Lepisosteus oculatus: one gene and its partners. The protein of the gene in region 2 interacts with the protein of the main gene of each other region in a pairwise test. Links are inferred from orthologs where the notes say so. Each region holds a gene or a part of one and is shown on either strand. Other genes may lie near its edges.

Region 1 (7,627 bases), on a different chromosome or scaffold from region 2:
GACACAGTCGTGCAAAGCCACTTAAGATACGAGCAGATCAGGCTTCGAAACTATGCTGATTCTGATGAGTTTCCTAATGCTAAAGCATCTCAATGGAATGGTTTAAAGAAATTGGTCCTTCTTTTAGTCCCCGCCTTCTGTACCTACATGCAATAGAAACTATCACTGACTTCTCAGGCTCCCCCAGAGACGGTGGAGAGGAAGGTCTTTCTTCTGTAGACCAGGGCGAGATACACACTGCAGCAACACCGCGACCACACAGACACCGAGGTGCTCGGGCATACTTACGATGGGGTCTCTCCTGCTGGGAGGAGAGCTCCTATGCCCTTGCTGGGGGGCGATTGTGTGCTCTGCTGTCTGAGGGTGTGTGGGGAGGTGTGAACCAGGCCCGTCTTGGGGACGGATCCCGTGTGGCTTGGTGTACAGACAGAGGCAGCCCAGCCTCCCGGGGAAAGCAGCACAAAGAATGGAGGAGGGGAAGCAGAGGGCGGGGGGAGGAGGGGAGACCCTGTGGAGTGCAGGCTCACCTGATGCCTTGTTCCTCATGAGCCGGACCTCCCTGGGCTGGATGCCCTGCTCCTGCAGGTGGGAGCGGATCTGCAACAACAGAGGGGAGGCAGAGGGATGAAGGCAGATCCTGACCCCAGACACGGACAGCATTATTAACATCAAACTGTAAAGAATTAAATCCTCGTATTTAAATCCCAGCCCCAGAGGGGAGGAGATGGAAACAAATCGGAGACCAAAAAGAGATCACATACACCTCGCGGTGGACACTACAGTGTCTAATTAAAAAACGAACGAGAAAAGAACAAGAGACAAGAAAAAGAAAAAAGGGAGAATCAGATCCTCTGTGGTACTTAATCAACATCTGCATCCCCAGACACTGCCTGCTGACGGCGCTGCTGGGGAGAGACGTCCTACAGCGCGGGGCTGCTTACCTCGTTGACAGTGGCGACAGGAGGCAGCATCCTCAGCATGATGATGTTGCTGGCTTTCTGCTCGCCCGAGTCGGCGCGGTAGTCCTGGTCCCGGAAGTCCGGGTCAGGAGGGAAGCCCGCCGACTCCTCCAGAGCATCACGGGCGTGGTACCCCTCGGATCCCCGGCCCCCCGCCAGGCCGGAGACGGCAGCCTCTGGGAACTCCTGCCAGGTACAGATTTACACACGACAAGCTCACAATGAATTCATTCGCACTTCAGTCGCTAAGCTTACATTTGAAGCCCGTGCCGCACGTCGAGAACAGCTGCAGCAGTCTGCGGAAGAGCTGAACGTCTAGGGTGACCTGGTCACCTGCCCGTGCCGCGTTAACGCTGGACCTAGACCTCACCTGCTGGTCGTCCGGGCCCTGAAACTCGGGGTCCTCGGGGTGCAGATCGCCATACTCCTCCTGCGCAGGGGGTCCGCTGTAGCTCTCCTCCTCCAGCTCCGAGGTGCCGTACTCCGCTGCGGAGCCCCCCGGCCGGCCGTAGGGCCGGAAGCCCCTCCTGCGAGGCTCGTACTCCCTGGGCCGCTCCTGGGGCTCGAAGGGCTCGTACTCGCTGCCGAGCAGCTCGCACTCGTGGGCGCGCTCCTCCCTGCGGAAGCGCTGGAAGTCCTCGGCCCGGCGGAACCCCCTGTCCTCGCGGGGGAAGGGGGGCTCCTCCTGCTCCAGCGGCTCGAAGCCCAGGCCCGCGGGCTCGTCCCGCCCGTAGGCCCGGTAGTCCATGTCCCGGTAGTCGTGGTCCTGGAGGTCGCTGCCGTAGCGGCCCAGGCGGTCCCCCCGCCCGCCCCTGCGGGCACAGGAGAGGCAGCAGGTGAGAGCGCGGCCGCGCGGCGGAGACCGGTCCGAGCCCACGGGAGCCGCTCCGGCGGGTTTCAGTTCAGCTGGTCTCCAAGTCAGAAGAGAAGACTTCTTCGCACAGACACCAGCTCAGCACGCGATATCACAGTGACCTGGCTACAGACGTGACGATAACGAGAGCAAACTCTTTATTTTAACCACCAGCCCAGGCTTCTATGTGCTGTATAATGCAATCAGTCTTCTGCTTAAGGACCTTGGCGAAGACTAATCTAGTAAGAAGCACAGTTAGTTCTCTAACTGCTCACTGGCATTAATAACACGAGCAGACAGCCGGGCCCCTGGCTGTGCAGGCAGAACTTCCTTCCAATCCTGCGCTGCGTCCCTCCAGGTGTGTTTGCAGCTGTTACCCTCATCATCTTACCGCCTCTCGTAGTCCATCCCGCTCCGGCCACCTGGCACACAGACAGCTCGGCACCCCGCACCAGGTTCGCTGGCCTGAGGGGGAGAGAGAGGAGTCATTTGGACCAGCACCACGCCCTGCAGAAGACCCGGACACACGAGTCCGCCTCTGTCACCGGGAGCTAGAGGCTCGGGTCACACGCGTCTCCTGCAGGCTAATCAACCCAGCTCACCCCCGTCGCCAAGTCTTTCAGATCCGAGCTCAAGAGGCGTGACCACGCCGTGCTCGTTTATACGACATGTAACCGACAGGAGGGGACAACCGAGGCCGCGCAGCTCTCCGGGCCGCCTGGGTCCCAGCAGCTAACCGGCAGCCCATGAGAAGCAGAGACGCTACTGAAGAAACAGTCGGTCAATCGGTCGGTGAAGCTACATCCCATCGATCCCCGGAGGTGAAGTGTACGCGTCCAGAGCCCCGGCACACAGGTGCTGACCACAGTATCGGCGCTTTCAATGGCGCTGCAACACACTGACACCGCTGAACAACACTGAACTACCGACATTAGAAGAGAGCGGAATCATTTCTTTCGCTGCGATTCAGAAATACAGCGTTAACCAATTCTGTCGCGCTTGTTGACATGAGGAAAACGGCGGTTTCGGTTTAAAAAAAAACATTTTAACGGGATTTGTCAGTTATAAACGAGACCAACGTCTACCTGCGTAAACAGCACCTCCGGGGTCTCCAAACACAGCGTTATTTTAACTCGCTGCTCGAAAAGGAGAGCCGATTAGAATGAAAAATCTCGTCAAAGGAACAGAAATCATACCTTCTGAAAGATTGTTCCGAAACGCCAAGGGTTAAAGTTATGAATAAACAAACATGTTTTTAGAAATGTTGGAAAAACCGTCTCGCTCTACGTCCAAAACAAAATGGCCATCTACCGGGGCGGAGCTTGGTAGGCGGACTGCTGCAGCTGATTGGTCCAAAAACTTTGGGTCCATTCCTATAAAACATATGATTGGGTAAGAGCCTTATCAATCAACATTTTTCTCAGGCGGGGCGTCCACAGCGCCGCTTTCCTATTGGATCTGACATTTCCCTTTAAGAGTTCCGCGGACACCATAGGCCAAGAAAAGGAAAGTCCGCCTCTCGTTATTGATTGGCTCTGCTTCTACGTGACAGCTTTTTCGAGCCCTCTGAGTGGTTAGAGGTGAAGCCGTCTTCTTGTACAGGAAGGCCGATGTCGCAGCGCGCAGGGCTTGATGCGGGTCTGTATGACTGAGGAAAGTTGGCCTGGCAGGCTAAAAAAATAAAGCGCACCCAGTGCTTGTACTGCAGTAACCTGGAAGTGAACAAAGTGCACGCAGAGAATGTAGAGCTAGTTAAACCTGTTGACGAAGACAGCAGTCACTATTCTGCACTGTTCACGGTCCTTCCTGTAAATTTCAGGCTCCTGAACGGATGTGACCTTTTAGAGTTGGGATCTTAATACCATTATTCATCTCATGTTCAATGTAAATCTGTAATGCATTTTCATCCCACAGTGTCTCAAAGCACTTTACAAGTGTAGGACTGGGATTTGTAGTGTTCATTTAAGAAGCAAGTTATTTAATTAAGGTTTGGTATTTAATGCAGCAACAGGGGCGGTTCTTAAGAGGGGGGATATGCGAAGCACAAAGGTTCGTGGTGTGTGTAGGGAGCTGTTTTGTTTGAAGAGTGGAGTTCTACAGGATTACATCTTGTAAGAATGATAATAGTAGACTGTGAATTAAAGGAGAACTTTGTTATAGATCCCCGAATGGCACTTCGTTGTTTTTATGTTTGATGTGGTTTCCAAACTGAAAATAACTAAAACCTGTTCCTGGAACCCAAACCCCCAGAAGATTTAATTTTTACACATATTTAGTGGACTCACTTAACTCGCCACTCAAGTGAATCCCCACCTTGGCGACACCCAGCAGCTGTTCTGCACCAGCAGTGAGGGAATTAGAAATCACTGCAATGATTGAATGTCTTCAACATGTGGTGTCTTTCAATATTCTAGCAGTACTATTGCTAACATCCTCAAATGGGATACATATGTTTTGAGCATCACAATGGAAGTGCACCAGAGATTGTATTTCCTGTGTCAACTGAAAAATGTCTCAATGTTTCCTGGGCCATTCTCATTCAGGGTTATGGAGTTATTACTGAGGGAATTCTATACCAGTTTGGTTTGGCAACGTGTCTGACCATTCTAGAGCCAAATTGCAACACTTTGTTCTCTGTGCAGAGTCATTGGCTGACGTTTTCCTTCTATTAAAGACAAAATACACAAATTTGTTAATAAAGCAAACCTTTTGGATAATTAGAAAAAAAAACAATGATTACAGTTCTCTTGATTTTAATTGGACATACTGTTTGCTTAAATTTTTTTAAAGCAAAAACACCTTTGGATGATTTGCGCAGATGCGTGATTGCCTGTGAAGGAACAGCCGCCCTGTACAAGCGTGTATCTGAGCTCTGTACACGCAATGTGCATCCCTGAACAAGCGTGTATCTCGGCTCTGTATACGTAGTGTGCATCCCTGAACAAGCGTGTATCTCGGCTCTGTACACGCAGTGTGCATCCCTGAACAAGCGTGTATCTGAGCTTTATGCACGTGGCGTGCGTCACTGAACAAGTGTGTATCTCAGCTCTGTGTGTGCAAGCATGAGCAACTGTGTTTGAGCTGCTGGAGGACATGACCATAACTGTGATCAGTCTTCTGCCCCTGTCCAAGTGCGCATCAAAGAGGACACTGCACAAACTCAGTACCCTAAAAACAATTTTTATTTAAAGTAGTTTTAAAAGCAGACTGAGGAAATTCCAAGATGCATTTGTACAAAAGGTAAAGTTATATGCGGCAGATTCTTTTTCTCTCGTGACTTTATTTTAAAAAGAAGTACTTTTAATATAATATTTAGTTTTTCCTTTTTTACATTTTTAAGGTAAGATTCTAGAATTGCAAGAGGGTATTACTGATACAGTACAAGCCAGTAGAATTCCACACAGGGTTAAATATACAGTACAAGAGCAGAAAAAAAGGAAGGAGGCGCAGGGTTTGTACGTGTGAGAGCTAGAGGAAGCTGAACACTTGCCCCCTTCACGTCCCCTGGGCCAGCACAGACAGGAAAATGTGACCAGGACCGGTTTAAAAAACCTTGACTTACTTCAGACTTTATAAATTAGGTAGGTTTTCATATTCCCAAAGAAACGCAGTGAGAAGTTTCAGCACCGCATTTTTCAGTTAACCTTCCATCCCTGTGGACTCCATCACTTGGACACAGGACATTTATTTTCGAATGGAGGACGCTGAGCAAATGTGCAGGTCAACCCCCCTCTTTGGAAATCCTTAAAGACTCCTTAACAAAGGCCGACTGCAATCCTGATGGGTTTGAACTGCACATTTGCCAAGTTCTGTGTTGGCTTTCACCAGTACTCAGAAACTCGTCATCAGTCAGCACAAAGGCCTTAAAGGAAAGTAGGCTAAGCAAAACAAAACCAGGTGTGAATACATCTTATCCAGTCCCAAAAGGAAAAAGCCAAAATCTAGAATATTACATATATATGTAATATTGTATGCATATATATATATAGATAGATATGGGCAGTTGAAAAACCCTCTCACCTCCTTTCATGCTGAAAAGCTCATGCATTGTGCACTGTGGACCTGTACGCAGTTTTTCACCCACTGCTGCAGGGATATCTAGTCACCCATTAGGTAGAAGTCTTACAATATGTGTAAAACAGGTCATTCAAGTCACAACACTTAACTCAAATGTGTGACACAGTCTTCCAGCTCTCCAGACTGTCCAGACTGGAATCTCCATCAGGATTACCCTCTGTAGTCTGACAATGCAGCCCCCTTTACTGTTTATCAAGTGGGATCCTATTTCCTTCGCTGTTCACATGGCTGATTTTATCAAGATTCCCATATCATTTGCTATTCTCAAACAATTAACCCTCTCCCCCAGCCCTTTCACACAGAGCTATCACTGTCAATATTCTGGGAGGAAATGAGGGTGACCCCAGGGCTACAGACTGAGTCCAGTGTCATTTATCTTTTTGTGGCAGGGTTTAAATCGTGAATTAAAATCGCCAGCTTATTTCCTTTTTCAACCCTCTTTTCAAATCCCAGATGCAATCCTGGGACCCTTTCAAAGGATTAGCAAGAACACAAACCCACCGGGGTTACAGGGACAGTGGCTCAGACTGACTTGAACGACTCCGAGGGGCGATTCAATGGAACAGATGGTGAGGAAGGATCCTCCGGACACCGCTGACACACCAGCTCGGCGCGCTCCAGCGAGGGGCCACTGTGTATGGCGAGACCCAGGGGTGGGGCCTGCTCACAAGCTACAGACTACAGGGAGCCTGACAGAGTGGCAGGTCACAACTTGCTGCAGTGGTCTACAGGTGGTGAAGGAGGACAGAGGTGGCAGGAATGTTTGCGAAGAGTCCTTTTAAAATACGCTGCTATGCTTCTTCACACCAGGCTGCCAGACAGGCACCTCATGCCAGGATGTTGCACTGGTTGCAGGCCCTGCCCAGCTTGGAGGGGAAGCAGTGGGTAAGAGGAGAGGGGGGTTACCCCCAGTTTTAAACAACACAAACTCAGTCTTATTAACAACCCATCTGTTAATGTTCAAAATCCTTTATAGTCGTCATTTTTACATGTGGCTGAAGCTCTTAAAACAGTATCTCTGCTTCTATGAGACAGATTTGTGGAATTGAACCAGACAGGAGCAGGAAGATGCCATGAGGAAGGAGCTTCAGTGCTACAGACACAGTGGGGCAGAAACAAGGAGCACATGCAGATCCACCAGTCTACACTGCGGGCCCCTGGCAGTAATGACCGAAACAATACTAGTCCCACACTGCAGATGAAAAAAAGACTGAGGACTTATGGCGAAATGTTAATTTAAACACTTATCCACAACTCAAGATACAGCATCCTCTGCCACTAACACTGCCAAGGGACGTCACCTGTCAGTTTCGCACAACATTCGTCACCCAGTCCGCCGCTAGAGACAGCATTCAAACAATGCCCTCTTCCCCATACCTATCCAGAGTAACAGCTGCGTTAGCAACAGGAACACTGTATCTTGGAGCGCAGCTGACATGTCGTCAGCTTTGAGGAAAAGCCCAGTAAGCAACTTCCATGAGTGCCACAGAAATATTTTGGCTACAAACGATGACATGAGGAACAAAACTTAAAACATTATATAGACATTTGTTTCCAGGGGACCTTTTCTCTGTCGATGACACAACACTGCAGATGTAATTGTTTTGAAGCCAAGTGTTTAAAACTAAGGGCGAGCCTTTGAAGAAAACCAAGTCACTGCTTCTGTGTCCAGCCTGCCTGTGAGGGAGCCCCTCTCATCAGCCAAGGCAACTGTCCATCTGGGAGAGGGAGGCTGTTC
Region 2 (8,133 bases):
GGCAGGATGACGTAACTCTCTCCCGACCCGGCGTCCTTGTCCTTCTGGAACTCCCGCGTGGCCTTCATCTTCTCCAGCTGTCGTTCTTGGCGCCGGCATTTCTGCTGCACGGTTTTGAGCTTCTTGCGCAGCTTGTCCACCTGCTCCTCCAGCTGCTGGATCCTCTTCTTCTGCTGCACGGTGTCCTCCACTGTGTAGTTGTGGTCGCAGGATATGGACATGCTGGGAAGCAGGGCTGGGTGCACAACCATCTGCACCACGTTCTGCAGCTGGGGCAGCCCGGGTTCCTGAGCCGGCAGTGGCGAAGGTGGTGGTGGTGACTGTTCAGAGTCAGTGAGGTGCAGCTCAGGGGGAAGAGTCATTTCTGGTGGGGTTTGCTCATCCAAGGCCTCATCCTACAGGATTGCATGGGGAAAAAAAAAAGCGTTCAGTGAGCATGAATGTACAGTACTTCTCTCTCTTTCAGATGGAGTCAAATGTGGGATGATATATCATCCTCCAACGGAGATAGCATCAAACAACGGAGATATTTCCAGGTACTGCTTCTCATGAACATGAGAACACTTCAGTCTTGGAGTTCAAAGCTCTCTTTTTCTTTTCTTGCCATCAGAAAGTTCGATCTATTCCAGCAAAGGCCTGGCTTTTACAAATGGTTGCTTAAAAATGATACCCGACAGATTTTACAGGCTGATGTACACTACAGAGCCTTGCAAAAGAATTCAGACTCTTCCTGTGGTGCCGAGTGTGAAAGCGTACCAGCACTACGCAAGTCGTAAAAATAGATATACACAAGTGAGCACAAACTGATATTGCCTGCCAACAAGGTGCAATACAAAAATACAAAAGGTTACATTTCACAGGTAATTCATTAGTCCAGATATTGTAGTCAGCACGTTAAGGGCCTATAAAGGACCTCAAGGTATTCAGTGTCTGAATACATAACTTTTTCCTTTCATATCAATTACTTCTTTCTTTTTGTTTTTGTTGCTTTGAATGTGTGGAGGCTGTGTACATAAAGATTAATTGCCACTTCAAAGTATCATGACTTGCAAGCTTTATAACAACAATAAGTGAGAACTGTACAAGGGTTTGAATACTTTTGCAAGGCCCTGTACCTCTTCCTGTCACATATGTCACATATATGAATATGAGCATCCTGTGACAATGACTGCACACGGAGGACACCAAATTCCAGAGGATGCTCAAAAATAAAGGTAATTGTTTTCTCCTTAAAAATAGAAAGTCAACGATTTTCTTGAATTCTGAGACATAAGAACTTGAAATAACCTTAACCCAAGAGGTTATTCTCAGTCATGAATTAAATAACACTAGCATTCATTTTCCTAGGATGAGACAAGAGTCTGAACATGCCCCTTGGTTCAATTGGTGGGGTCCAATCTCCATATCCTATATTCTAGTCCTAGCTGAATGTTGATCAGTAATCAGTTACTTAAATGTTGTTTTTTCTTACGATTAAAAAACATAGGCTGGAAATACAGCACTATTTCCAGCCGATATACAACATACGTAAGTCAGGATGTTATGAGTTCTTGGAAAGTTTGTAAAACATTTAGCCTGTGAAGACACTGAACAATTGCAAAGCACGGGAGTTGAACTACTGTACACAAGATGAAAAAACAAACAAACAGCAGAGCATGTCACATGTTTGAATTCTTAAGAAAAAGTGACCTTCTCCGCCTGGCTTTACCTTTTCATCGAGCCTGTTGAAACAGAAGAGCGAGGGCACCGCGTTTTCCTTCAGCACGCGGTTGTTGCACTCGCGTTTGAAGCAGTCCTTGGTGAAATGCTGTGAGCAGATATTGCTGTATTTAGTGGGCTTGAAGTTGTTCCGTCTCATCGCGGCGACCCATTTTCCACACACATCAGGCCGCGCAAGAGGAAACCTGATGAATAAGCAAACACGACTTCAAGAGGCATTGCCTTTCTCTTCATATATTCATATGTTGTTTTGTTTTGTTTGGCGTTTGAGAGAACAACACAAGTCCAGCACTCCAGGATTTATAGTAATACCTCCATATTTTTTACATGGTATACCTTTATTTGACTTCTAAGAGAATTTATAACAATAACGTTTATTGTGTTGTTCAGGGCAATCAATCTAAAATAGTTATGAAAAAATCTTTAGTCTTTAAAATGCAAGCCAACCGAAAACTACGGCACTTACACTCTTCTGGCTAGTTCAGATCATATGTAATTTAACGCAGGGCAATACATTAAATTAAGGTGTAACTTAATCGGACCACATCCAAATCCGTGCAGCACTGCTATATCCCCGACTCTCCTAAACATTCAGCTGTCCTAGAGTTTGTCATATCCACATATCCAGACGTCTCCAGCTCCAGAGAGTGTGGAAACTGACTCGTACCCTAAAATCACACATCAAATAATATTTAATACTTCATATGAAGAACAGGGCTGCAAAAATCGCTACCTCGTCGTCTGTCCCATTTTCAAACATGACAGTCAGAACTGGCATTTACAGATAAAAGCGAGGGTAGCCCTGTGTTACATTTCCATTCTTTTTCATAAACACTGCCTTTTTCCCATTTCGGTATACGTTTAATTTAATGTATCCATCTGAAAGGTGGTAATTACACAAACTGCCCTGTCATGTGCTCCTCGGAGGATAACGCACCACGATGTACGAGTAGCAACCCAGAAATGCACGTCATACCCAAATCATTGATTTCGCTTACATAAAGATCGGCGGACACACGCTTTGTATCTCCGATCAACTGATTTTATATTCATTTGCTGGGCTTCGCGGAGAAATCACGGCACGGTTTGCCCCGTAGCCTACTTGAGATTGTCCCCTCAGTATTGCAAACTGTTTGAAAACAGCTGTACTTGCGCCCTGCGGTGACCGACAGGAGTTAACTTACTTGTGAAAAGAAATGTTCTTGTCCTTGTGATATCGGTTTTTACATCCGTACGCCGAACACGACTGAACCATCGCTGCCTTTGAAAATAAAGCGCAGCGCAGGTGCGACTGCAAATGTTACGAATGCCTTTTTTTTATTACTATTTATTCATTAATTCTCCGCAGAAGAGGTCCCTCTCCAGTTTCCAAGATGGCTGCTACGGCTTCGCTGGCTGTCACATGATGCGCATCCGTGCTTCGGGTTGGTCACTCCCGTGGAAGAGTCTCCTCTCTTTTCGGGTGACGCACCTGCAGTGTACAATCACGTAGACAAGGCAAATCTCAACGTGCCGGGGACGAGACGTGTACATTAAAGCAGCTTTTAGCATCTGGTGGACGTGTGACACATTTAACCTGCATAATTGCCCTGTATCCATTATGTTATCGCGACCTCCCTGAAGAACCACTGCCACACATTAGAATGATAGCAGCCGCTTTTTCCAGCGAGGTGACATAGAGGTATTAATTACAACAGAACATACAGTACATACAGAATTTGAAAAGTATTTCTTTTTTTCGGGGTGTGGGGTATCCTTAAAACTTATCTGTTTCCAAAATTGGAAGTGAAGTGAAGCGTTGAGGTATTAGATCTTGAGGAGAAAATCCAGGACGAATGCGTCTTATTGGTAAACATCTTGAGGTCGTGGTTTACTTGGAAGTGAAAAATAAAACGACGTTCTTTTACGGTTCATTGGTTTTATACGCTCACAACAGCTTCCTTATGAGTATATCGAGGTGGCACTGTAGTTTTAAAGCGTATGTCTTCTAAATAAACTCAGTTTACATCATGAAAGACCTAATACTTGACGATAAATTGATCTACAAACTTGAAACTTGGTGTGGCAGGGGCTGCACGGAGAGGCGATTATTTGACTTAACACCCCAAAGTGCATTTTAAAGGCACTTGTATATAATTTATCATAATTGTAGCTCTGAAATCTGAATTGTTGAAAAAATATTTTCCTTCTGAGTTATTTTAAAATAACATTTGAATTCACACAAATGGCCTACAGCTCAAATTTCTTGACAAATCAATTTCATGTTCTAGACCAGGGATTCACAGTCCTCCTTCTTCGCTTAAATAAGTCCTTAACCTATAGTTGCTTGGTTAGAACATCTGCATGTTTTTCTTTTTTCTTTTGTTCTACTGAAGTCGCTTAAGAAACAAAATACAGTCAAAGGCAACTTCCTACTTTTTTAGGAACTGAAAACAAAGAGTTCAAATTAAACCTATTATTATGTCTATTAAGGGTTAACAATTACTTAATTGAGCACTTAGGTGGAACAAAAACTAGCACATGTGTTGTGGGTCCCTGGGACTAAGATTGGGAACCACTGCTCTAGAAAATCCCTGTCACCCTGCATTGGATAAAGCACTCAGGAAATGGATGGATGTCCTACAAGGTGCAGAGAGAAAGCAAGATGAGGGCAAAGCAGCACCACGGAGCAATCCCAGCAATCTCAGAAAGCAGGGCCCCAGGTAAACCAGGTGACTTAACCCAGAGTAGGCTGTTGTGCAATAGCTCAAGTACAACACTACCCCCCTCCCCCTCCCACCTTAAAATGTAAACTGCTTTGATGCAACTACTTCTTATATATCATAATTTATATATTCAGTATTTTTAAAAATTTTTACTTTATTTTTACTGATTTGGTTTTACTCCAAATGTACTGTAGTGGACTCCAATTAGCAATATTATGACATCTTATTGATGTAAAACATTTGACATGTTAAGCGTGGTGAGGCTGACTACAGGAGGAATATACTTGAGTTATGGGATGATACAAAATACTTATATACAAACAGGCTTTCTTCAGGATATGTGGTCTTTTTAAGATAGAAATGACATTTTTGAATCCAGTGTCAAGGGTCCAGAATCACATTCCAGGCCTAGCTGTAGTTTGTTCATTTACAGAAAGATGTATGGATACATGCTTGATGTCTCCCATCATTTGATTGGATTTTTAAAATTGATTATATATTTAATATGCATATATATATTTATAGCTACCTGAGAACCTGCAAACAATTCACCTTGAACTTGAACTTTATTGCCATACAGTATGTAACCGGTACTGGTACAATGGAATTCTTACTTACAGAAAGTCTCTCGATTGTAAAACAAGTGTAAAAAACAAGACAAAGTGCAAACAGTGCATCAAGACAATGTACAAACAAACAATAGACAATGTGCAAGTAAACATGTAGACAGTTTGAATGTAAACAATACAGATATGTAAACAATGACTGGAGATGTGCAATAGATAAGAAATCATAAAGAGGTAGATGGTGATGGTGATGGTGTAGGTGTGGTCCGAGGGGGATGGCTAAATGTGGTCGCCAGTCTCACTGCTTGTGGATAGAAGCTATTGAAGAATCTGGTGGTAAGTGTCCGTATGCTCTTATATCTCTTGCCTGAGGGCAGTGGGGTGAAGAGCTCATGCCCGGGGTGGTGACTGTCCTCTGTGATGGCCAGAATTCTACCACGGCAGCGGTCCTCATAGAGCTGTTTAATCTCTGTGAGACCGCAGCCGATGATCTTCTGGGCCATATTGACCATTCTCTGCAGTGCGCGAAGAGGTGTTGCCATACCACACGGTGATCCCGTTGGTGAGGACGCTCTCGATGGTGCAGCGGTAGAAGTTCACCAACATATGTATTGGCATCCCCCATCGCTTGAGGCACCTCAAGAAATAAAGGCGCTGCTGAGCCTTCTTCATGATAGAGTCAGTGTTCACAGTCCAGGTTAGATCTTTAGAGATGTGAATTCCCAAAAACCTAAAGCTGAAACTTAAATGTACTGTACAGTATACCTTATATCTCATAGTGGACTAAACTTCCTTTAATGCTTCAGATTCTTTAAATCTATTCTTATGTCTGTGAAAGAGTTGTGTTGTGTAGCAAGGGTCTAGTTCAGTTATGAAAGCAATGAAATGAACCTCGCTGCTTTCCTCCTGAAGAAGCCGATTCTCAGTGTTTACCTCAGTCGCTCTGTTTTGCGGTGTAAACAGGAACCTCAGGGTGTGCTTTGAACAGGAAACAGGGTGAAGAAATGCTGTCGAGAACTCAAGAAGAAATGTGTGTATAAACACCTGGGAGGAACTCAAACCCCCCAGAAGGCACAGGTCGAGCTCCTTTGTAAGATATTTTGAGTGGGAAAATAAAAGTTAATGTTCCACTGTACTCTGGCAGCAATTTGGATTTTGTGTTTCTTGACCAGCAGACCAGCGCTATACCTAAATGACACAGGTAAATGAACTCAATTTAACTTCTGCATACTGTGAGGTCTTGGGTGAACTAGGCATGTGAATAAGGGAAACTCCAATTTTATTTTTACTCATTGTTCTTCCTCTTTTTCTTATTGATCCTTGGCTTGTGAAGGAGCGCTGTTTATCTTTCACTGAACGCTATAGCACCTGCCTGTCGAAGGCAAAATAGTCAACAAAGAAGAAGTGTGTGAGAAAAAGTGTGTGAGAAGAAGTGTGTGAGCATATCTTCAAGACTAAATAAGTAAAACATAAACTTTGTTTTTTTCAGATCTCTTTAGTATGATTGAAATGGTCTAGGTTTGTTGATATCATTCCCCCTTATGTGGGTTATCAGTCATATGGAAAGTATATGTAGCCACAATACCTTTAGCGCCATCACACTACTGTATTGTGGTCATACAGTATATAGCTGTGATTTTCATTGAAATATATAGTAGGCTGTTGTGGTGCCATTTCAGTGCTATAAATTCGAGAGAATGGGGGTTATTTACATTTTGCAATGTGCAAAGTTGATTGGTAGGTTAATGTACCATCATGTATTAACATATATGATATATAATATATTATTAACATAATATATTTAAGACCATATATATATTGTGTAAAAATACTGGTTGTATATTGTTCAGGATGCATAGCTTAACCTAATAGCATCTATTCATATTTAATTATTGAGAACTGGGTGATAGTCTGACTTTGGATTTGTTTGTAATATGATCTGGAGAACTGAAGGCACCAAACACTTGTCCTGTGAGGACATTAGAAAGGTTAGGTGGCCATCTGGCCATTCCAGCCCATTTAGTACTTAATTGAATCCAAAGATCTCTTTCAGACATTTTGTGTTAGAAACCATAGTACTGGCTTCAACAACAGAGCTGGGCAGCTCTTCCTGTTCTCAGTTTAAGTCTTATTTTCACAGTTTCCACCTGATCCCTCTTGTTCGTGTTTCACTGTGCTTTCTAAAGAAATCTGCTGGTCTGACTTTGGCCAAGGGGTTTCAGGATTTAAATTCTTGTTTCAGCTGCCTTCACGGTCTTCTCTGTTCAAGACTGAAAGGGTTCTGTTCCTTCAGCTCATCAGTGTAGGTGTAGGACATTCACTTAAGCCCAGAATGTATATGGTTATTCTTCTCAGAGCAGCAATATCTTTTAATTACAATTTCTTGCTGAGCAGCCCCTAGGAGCTCAGTCTGTTGCAGGAGTACCTGTGGGGGTAGACAATGTAGGTCTCCCTTGCTAATTCAATCCCAGCATATCCCATGTACTGTACACTTGAGCCCTTATGTGCTGCCAGAATGGATGTGCTTCCCTTGAGCAAATGCAACAGGCTGAATTAAGCTTGTCTGAATTTTAATTTCTGTTTGTATTTGACAATACAATGCACATTCAACTAAGTAAGTCTGCTGATTAAAAAAAATCTGATTAAGATTCATTGTAACACTCTGAAAATCCAACTGTAACTAACATGAAGTTTTAGTCCTGCTTTATAGTGATAATTTCCATCACATTTACGCTGTATTTCTTGACCCTTCTTTCTGTTTTGGTGCTCCAAGGCTGTGGAATAGCCTTCCAGTTCATATTATGTCTCAGTCAGTGTTTTCAAACCCTGCGTTAATTTACTGCATTCATTTCTGATGTAAAATGCTTGAGGTAATGAGTCATGAAGGCATAAACCAATTATCTGCATAAAATAAAGATTATTATTAAACCTTACTGAAGATTGTAGCTTTTGTTGGACTTGCTACAAGACTCAAATTTATTCTTTTGAGCTTTCCATATGAACAATCCAAACTGATGTGTAGGTTTCGTGTCGTTGGTAACAATTAGAATTTTACAATGAAGAAAAAAAGTGCTAGAACTTAACATGAATTACCCTTTTGCCATGACAGATATGCTTATAAAATAAAAAAATAAAACCATTGT
Region 3 (7,107 bases), on a different chromosome or scaffold from region 2:
TCGGTTTCCCGGCCCTGAGGAACTGCAGGCACAACCAGCCAATCAGAGCACTCATTCTGATTTTCCAGCAAGCTTCTTTTATGTCGACCACAGTAGGTGCGCAATACGGGAAAGATGTAGAAATTAACATAAGTCAGATATATTTTAAATAAACAAACAAAATGGTTTAAGGAACTTCAAACTAGATCACGCCTTGAAAAAGAATAACACAGGATCTGAAGTGATGTGTCAAAATTAATCCTGCACAAGCGCAACGCTGTGTTTTTTGAATGCACTACAGAAGAATGAGCTCCAAAGTCTCAGCTAGTAAAAGCATTCAAAATTCAGATTGGACCTTACAGTCCCAGCCCAGGTGACTCCCACCTGCGCTGGGTTTTTACTTAACTGTTACCTGAATTCCCCAATAGCTGGTGCACAACCAGCGAAACACCTTTGGGCTTCCTTAAGCTTTATCTAGCAATCAATCAATTTTATTGATACAGAGCATTCTCAAGGCACTTAATCTAAATTATACAATAAAAAAACTTTAGTATGAGAAACACCACTGTTATTAAAATGACTAGGAAAATAACGTTTTAATGAAAGTGATGACACAAACTTGCACTTAGGCACTACAGAGGCTGTAGCACGCCTAACTACGATGGCTGCAGCAAGTACACCTTTTAGAGGAAAGCACACTCAGGGTTAGTGAGTGAAGATGGGAACACCAGATTTGCAAGTTATACTAAAAAAAAGAACCACCACTTCCAGATCTTGAAAACGCGAAATCCTTCCTGTGCTTGTGTGTCTGGTTCTGTCCTGCTGCAGAGCAGTGCCAGTCTCACTCACCGATGAAGATGGCAAAGTGGTTGGCGCGGGGCACCTTGGTGCCAGGAGGACTGTCCAGGACGTGCAGAGTGTACCGGGGCCGTCCAGACGGGGCGTGGAGCAGCTGCAGGGCGGGGCTGTGGGCAGGATCTGTGCCCGTGCGCAGGCGGCTTCGCAGGAGGGCGTAGGCCTGGCATTCCCGGACCGCCCCCAGCAAGGCGGGGACCGTGGTATGTCTCTGGGCGGCGCCATCCTCTCCCTGGCACAGCTCCAGCAGCGGAGCTGGAGGGGGCTGTCGGAACTTGGTGCAGACCAGCACGAACACGGGCAGGGCACAGGAGGACGACTCGGGGTCAGAGGTGCCGCCCTGCCCGTCCAGGCAGTGCACCCTGACCGCCCAGCCCTCCCCGACAAAGTGTTCCACTGCCAGCTTGAGCACGTGCTCCTGGGCCAGCGAGACGCACACGTAGCGCCCCCCGACGCCCAGCACGCGCCCCACCTCCACCAGCATCCTCTTCGCTAGGCCCCCCTCCGCGGCACCCCCCTCCTCGGAGGCCATGGCGTCCAGCGTGCCCTTGTCCAGGGCGGCGCGGAACTGCTGGCTCTCGAAGGGCGTCTGCGTGGCGTCCACGCGCAGGAAGGTCAGCCCGGGGCGGCGGGCGGCGTTGCGCTGGCTCATGGCCGCGATGGCCGTCTCGCTGATGTCGATGTTGGTCAGCCGCTGGTACCCCACGTCGTACAGCTGCTCACTCAGCTCCGAGTTCCCACAGCCCACCACCAACACCTGGGAAAGGGAACGGAACGGAATATTCAGTGACGAAGGCAGTGCAAAGCAACAACACACACTCCAGAGAGAGAGGAGAACAGTCCCCATTACCAGTAGAGCACCTTGAGGGGAGTGTCCAGAAAAGCACTAAATAAGCGTAAGGAATTATTAACAATGGTGGAGGAAAATGAGGAAAAGCATTGAGGTGAGGGCACCTCTTGCTCTTGGAATCTTTGAAACAAATATTTGAATTACATTTTTATGTTTATGGGAAACTTGTTGGGCTGTGACAAGATCAAGAACAACTATCCTAGTTTTAGAGGACCAAAAATGCGAGAACAAAACTACACAATCATTCTATTGCCATCAGGTGCATTTGCTGATAAAACTTCTATCTGGACCTCAATTTCTAAACCGCAATGACCAGAGACACTGCTACAGGATGCATCTCATCGTGCAGATGAGACGTCCTGACTTTTTGGACATTACACATGCTGTGGCACATTTTAAAAGAAACGGATGTTAGCCCTGGTGTCCTGGCTAAATTTCACTCTGCAGTTGTACAATCTGGACCTTGGAAAGTCCCCCCTTAACTAAAACGGAGAAGCAATTTCTCTTTTCTCCACCTGATCTGGGGGGGGTTGCTGGTATTCTGCAACTCTCCCAGCCTATAAGTAAAGCTTCCTGGGATCCTTTGAAACTAAAAGCACTAAATAAATCCAAGAAATTGTCAATTATAATTATTATCACAGTGGTGCGGTCTGCGACTGAAGGAGAGACTTCAATCCTAAGAATAACAAGGATAACAAGCACTGAACGGTCTGGTCATGTAGTTTCACATACTTACCTCATCCCGAGGCTTGATGTACTTGTGTAACACCCCGCACAGATCAGTATATCCACCATACCACTCGAACGCACGGTCACCGCGCCGGCGGAAGAAGCGCTCCCAGTACTCCGCTGAGCTGAACTCCTCCGCGGTGCGTGGCAACAGACTCATCGTGGGGCCGCGTGAGCGACAGGGTTTGAGTTTGTGTCAAGGACTCAGTATACTGTAGCAACACAGGCGCTAAACTTACCAATAACCTGTCCCGCCACTACACTGCTCTATTCTGCTAGCACGCCTTTCACATTACAGTTGTGGACAACTCCATGTTGAAGTAAATAAAAGACGTTGCGAATATGAGAAGACACTGTCTCTCACCATAAACCAGGCTCAACAGACGTGTCTGTGAATCTCTGGTAATCTTACTTTTAGGGACTCTTTAGTGACCCCTACAGTTGTTGCAATACTGTTAAAACACTAATACGACACCCATGTAAAATGCACCCTAAATGATACCAGTGGGAGAAACTCGACTAGTTACCAGTGAGAGTAACTTACAAAATGTATCTAACCTAGCTACACAGGCAACATCCTGTAATCAACATTTACTCGATCGTCTGTTTAAACCCTACACCTTGATTCTTATAGAAAATCTATAACTACAGTTACAAGTCACCAGGTTCATATCGCATACCACCTTCCCACATGTGTTTCTCAGAACTGTTTCCTACACGGACAATAATCAGTGTAGAACACAATCCGCTACGACACATATGATAGGATCGTATTAACGGCGAGTAGCCTCCTAGCTCGCTTTCCGATTGGCCAATTGCCGCATTCTGTCAGATGATTGGCTGATACGCAGCGGCACCGGATGTTGTTGATGTCTGTGTGTTCCTTCGTGCTTGGTAGCTGGAAGTTGAAGCATGGCGGCGCCGGCTGGGAGGTCGGTGGTGTTTGTGACGGGTAATGCCAAGAAACTGGAGGAGGTGAGAACTGAGGGAGAGAAAACAGTAAAATGAGTGCAGGAGTTGAACATGGAAAGAAAGAATATGACCAAGCTATTATTTTATTGGTTAAAGCTGTTTGGCTTGACCAGTTGTGTTAGTTATTTGAGTACACCGTATTAAAGATTAGTGTATGAATGAACCACAACACGTAATATCGAGTGAGACCCATTTCATTCGGTTTGTGTTATTCTTCGTTTTTAGCAGCACTTCTTTTAAAATGGCTCTTTCTAACTGTTGTCGTTCAGGAGCGTAAAGTACAGTATTTGGTACGTCACGGTGCATCACTAGCTAGGGAGAGGAAGAAACTTTAAAACCCATCATTATCCCGAGTGTCGCATCGACTGTTGTGAACATATCTGTGCAATGTGTGAAGGTGCCTGTCTTGTTTCTCGTACACGTATACTGTAGAAATTAACAACCCAGGACGACGATGTGACACTCGAACAAACTCTTTATTTCACCTGTAACTCCGAACCCGTTAGCTCCTACATTCACTATGATCTGTGACCCTGAGTAACCGTTATTCCCGCTCAGCCCTCCACCAATCAACATGCAGTTTCACTGCTGACGCACACAAATATTACAGTGGCTGCGGATGAGTTCTTGTATTAAATCTCTGTGTCTTACACAGGTCATTCAGATACTGGGAGACAAGTTCCCCTACAGGCTCATGTCCAAGAAGATTGACTGTGAGTACAGAGAAAGCGAACTTGGTCCCTGTGTGTTTTAGCAACCAGACATAAAAATGTTTCGTCATGGCAAGAAAGAACCTTTTGATGTGAACTGAGAGAGCTCAGTCAGTGTATGGCTGTAACTGTAGACAATCAGTAGAGCACATCAGTGAATATGAAGGGAGTGGTCCTGATGCTGCTTGCAGGGAGAGCTGTATTAGTTTTTACTGTGGTGTGTTTTCAGTGCCGGAGTACCAAGGCGAACCTGATGAGATCTCCATACAAAAGTGCCAGGAGGCTGCCAGACAGGTCAGCAGAGTATGGAGTTTGTGTACTGTGAGGGTGGAACTAAGACTTCTACTGTGTATCAGTCTGTGATGTTTCAGGATTTGCGAGCTGCTTTTTGATTTTGAGTAAAATTGGATGGACAGGTTTGGTCTTCGAATCATCTTGCATGTCTCTATTCATTTTCTCTTCTTTATTAGTATAATTTACACATGAGCCTGCAGGCTGCAGATCCTGCAATGAATCACACTGTTTTGCATGCCTGATCTGTGTGCACACTGATTTCTCTAAATTACTGAGTGAGGCAGTCAGAGACAGGTCCATATTCCTGAACACGCCTTCACACAGGAAATTAAACAACACATACTAGCAACCAAACAAGATTGGCTGGCGGAATGACATCCCCTTGTCTGTAACATTTGTGCTGTGATGTTTTAAAGGCTTATGAGGCACAGACACACTCAGGTTTTCACTCTTGTTCACTGATCCTTTATGTTAATCACAATCTCACAGATTGACGGGCCAGTGATAGTGGAGGACACCTGTCTATGTTTTCGAGCACTAGGAGGGTTGCCGGGACCTTATATGTGAGTATGGCGTGTGTGTGTTTGCGACAGGGCAATAGTGGACTAACTGACAGGTTGTCGGTGGTGCAATGTTGACCTCTAGTGGCCAAGAGGTGTAATTTGCTGAAGAGTGGAAGCATATATTCAATAGCATATTTAGGTCCACTGTGAAAAGGTTTTTCTACTTATTGCTTCTTACGAGTTTCTACCTTGTTCTGCTCCCCAAACATACCTCAGTCAACCTCAGGCCTTGTCTTTCTCATACCTGAAGAAGGCCCCACGGCATAAACATTGTGTTTTCTTTCTTCTTTTTTTCAGCATGGAATAAACCTATTACTTGTTCCTTTGCATAATAATAATAATTGCTTACGTTTATATAGCGCTTTTCTGGACACTCCACTCAAAGCGCTTTACAGGTAATGGGGAAGCCCCTCCATCGACACCAATGTGCAGCCCCACCTGGATGATGTCATGAAAGAAGATCAATGATAGGTCTTTGAAAATGAATAAGAACTATGTAACAAGATATTCACGTGTCTTCATCCACAGTTAACTGTGTCCTCTGCATGTTGTTCTTCCAGAAAGTGGTTTCTGGACAAGCTGAAGCCTGAAGGTAAAACACTGACCGTCTCTCTTGTCTGTATTATTGTCTCTCTGTAAGTCTCGCTTTCCCCGTCCCTTTTCCCCAACACCAGTAAGTACCAGTAAGGGAGCTCCTGTCTATTAATCTAGTCTCTTCCCAGATGCTGTACGAAATCATTAAATGAAAAGCTTCACTCATGATTTTACCCTCCCTCCACTTTCTCTGTTGATCTGTCCTTCAGGTCTGCACAAGCTGCTGGCTGGGTTTGAGGACAAGTCAGCCTGGGCTCTGTGCACCTTTGCCTACAGCGCTGGAAAAGAGGAGCCAGTGTTGCTCTTCAGGGGGAAAACAGAGGTCAGGACTGCAGCATAGAGTAAATAGCACACCCTCCAATTTACACACAGGGCCCTCTGGATTCCTGAGGCACACATGCCTGGAATGTTCACACTGACTTACTCACACGGACTGATGCTCAGAGGGTCTGTAATATGTTCAGACTCTCAGACATGAGTTTACAGTGACGAAACACAGAGGTACCTTGTTTGTGCTGTGCAGTTGGAACATGGTACCTGTATTACTCTGACCTGTATTGCTCTGTGCTTAGGGGCGCATTGTCGAGCCCAGGGGACCCAGGGACTTTGGGTGGGACCCATGTTTCCAGCCAGATGGGTATGATAAGACGTGAGTGTCATTGTTTTCTCAATCTTTTCCAGTTGTTTGTGAAATGCATGCATTTGATAATCTAATAGAACACTAGATCACAGTGTTTCCCAAGGCCATTATGGACTGGTGATCACTCGATAAGCAAACTGTAACCAACTCTTTATTACGTGAGAACATGACTTCTCATGCTGTGGAAATCAGAACCTTTACAGTACCTCGGAATTGTGATTCCTCTAGTGCTTCTCTAATTATCTTACTCTTCTCCTCTCCTTCCCTCACACCATTCCAAATCTCTTCTCTCCCCTTCTACCTTTTGCAATCCCTTACCCCCTCTGCCTTCCTCTCCCAGCTATGCGGAGTTGCCAAAGGAAGTGAAGAACTCCATCTCTCACCGATACCGTGCTCTGGCTGCCATGTCTGAACACTTCTCTCAACTTGGGAGCACAGAGAACAGCTAGGACATGGCCATGCAGGCCCCCACATCACCAGGACATGGGGCGACGAGATGCACCGAGGCTTAAGAGCTTCTGGCTATAGCCAATCACAAGCTCTTGCCACCACCATCCAAGACGATGCCTGTCTTATCAACAATGTATTGTGTGAATCTGAAGATAAGGTGTCACAGCATGGACGTGTCACGTTCAGCACCCTGATGCTAACATTTTCTGAAAAAAGTATGTTTGCCATTTCTCAGTCAAAATGAGTTATTTTCTCTTAAAGTGCTATGCATATCACTGACATGGCGACAGAGCACCTTATCAGAGTCATGGTGGTAATTATGTAGGCAGTTGAGAGAAAATGTCTTTTATTGGAGTTCATGAATAGCCATAAAAGCTGGCACATTACCAGCTACCCTGTCCTGGTTCCCTCACTTGGAACATGGGGAAATGGCCACCTGTCTGTAGGCTAAGTGATTTCTAGTACTGTTTA

What was found. The genes of interacting proteins can lie anywhere in the genome.
Region 1: the proteins of thap1 (region 2) and rbm10 interact in binary tests that used the Homo sapiens proteins (3 or more experiments, as listed by UniProt). The two-hybrid records come from large-scale screens. The link is inferred for Lepisosteus oculatus from reciprocal best matches to the Homo sapiens genes THAP1 and RBM10.
Region 3: the proteins of thap1 (region 2) and mettl13 interact in binary tests that used the Homo sapiens proteins (3 or more experiments, as listed by UniProt). The two-hybrid records come from large-scale screens. The link is inferred for Lepisosteus oculatus from reciprocal best matches to the Homo sapiens genes THAP1 and METTL13.

The regions. Positions count from the first base shown.
Region 1 is NC_090697.1:77,941,447-77,949,073, forward strand, and holds the start of rbm10 (RNA-binding protein 10), read right to left. Parts: upstream 3,132-7,627; 5' UTR 3,009-3,131; intron 2,278-3,008; 5' UTR 2,221-2,277; coding exon 2,204-2,220; intron 1,939-2,203; exon of another isoform or gene 1,772-1,938; coding exon 1,330-1,771; intron 1,146-1,329; coding exon 942-1,145; intron 598-941; coding exon 528-597; intron 1-527. UniProt on the Homo sapiens protein: Binds to ssRNA containing the consensus sequence 5'-AGGUAA-3'. May be involved in post-transcriptional processing, most probably in mRNA splicing. Binds to RNA homopolymers, with a preference for poly(G) and poly(U) and little for poly(A).
Region 2 is NC_090698.1:64,312,160-64,320,292, forward strand, and holds the start of thap1 (THAP domain-containing protein 1), read right to left. Parts: upstream 3,159-8,133; 5' UTR 2,975-3,158; coding exon 2,904-2,974; intron 2,870-2,903; exon of another isoform or gene 2,720-2,869; coding exon of another isoform or gene 2,718-2,719; intron 1,905-2,717; coding exon 1,709-1,904; intron 396-1,708; coding exon 1-395. UniProt on the Homo sapiens protein: DNA-binding transcription regulator that regulates endothelial cell proliferation and G1/S cell-cycle progression.
Region 3 is NC_090704.1:31,396,350-31,403,456, reverse strand, and holds the start of mettl13 (eEF1A lysine and N-terminal methyltransferase), read right to left. Parts: upstream 3,132-7,107; 5' UTR 2,574-3,131; coding exon 2,421-2,573; intron 1,592-2,420; coding exon 829-1,591; intron 23-828; coding exon 1-22. Other genes in the region: itpa (inosine triphosphate pyrophosphatase), read left to right, coding at 3,326-3,388, 4,041-4,098, 4,325-4,389, 4,879-4,952, 5,513-5,544, 5,756-5,868, 6,119-6,195, 6,527-6,635. UniProt on the Homo sapiens protein: Dual methyltransferase that catalyzes methylation of elongation factor 1-alpha (EEF1A1 and EEF1A2) at two different positions, and is therefore involved in the regulation of mRNA translation.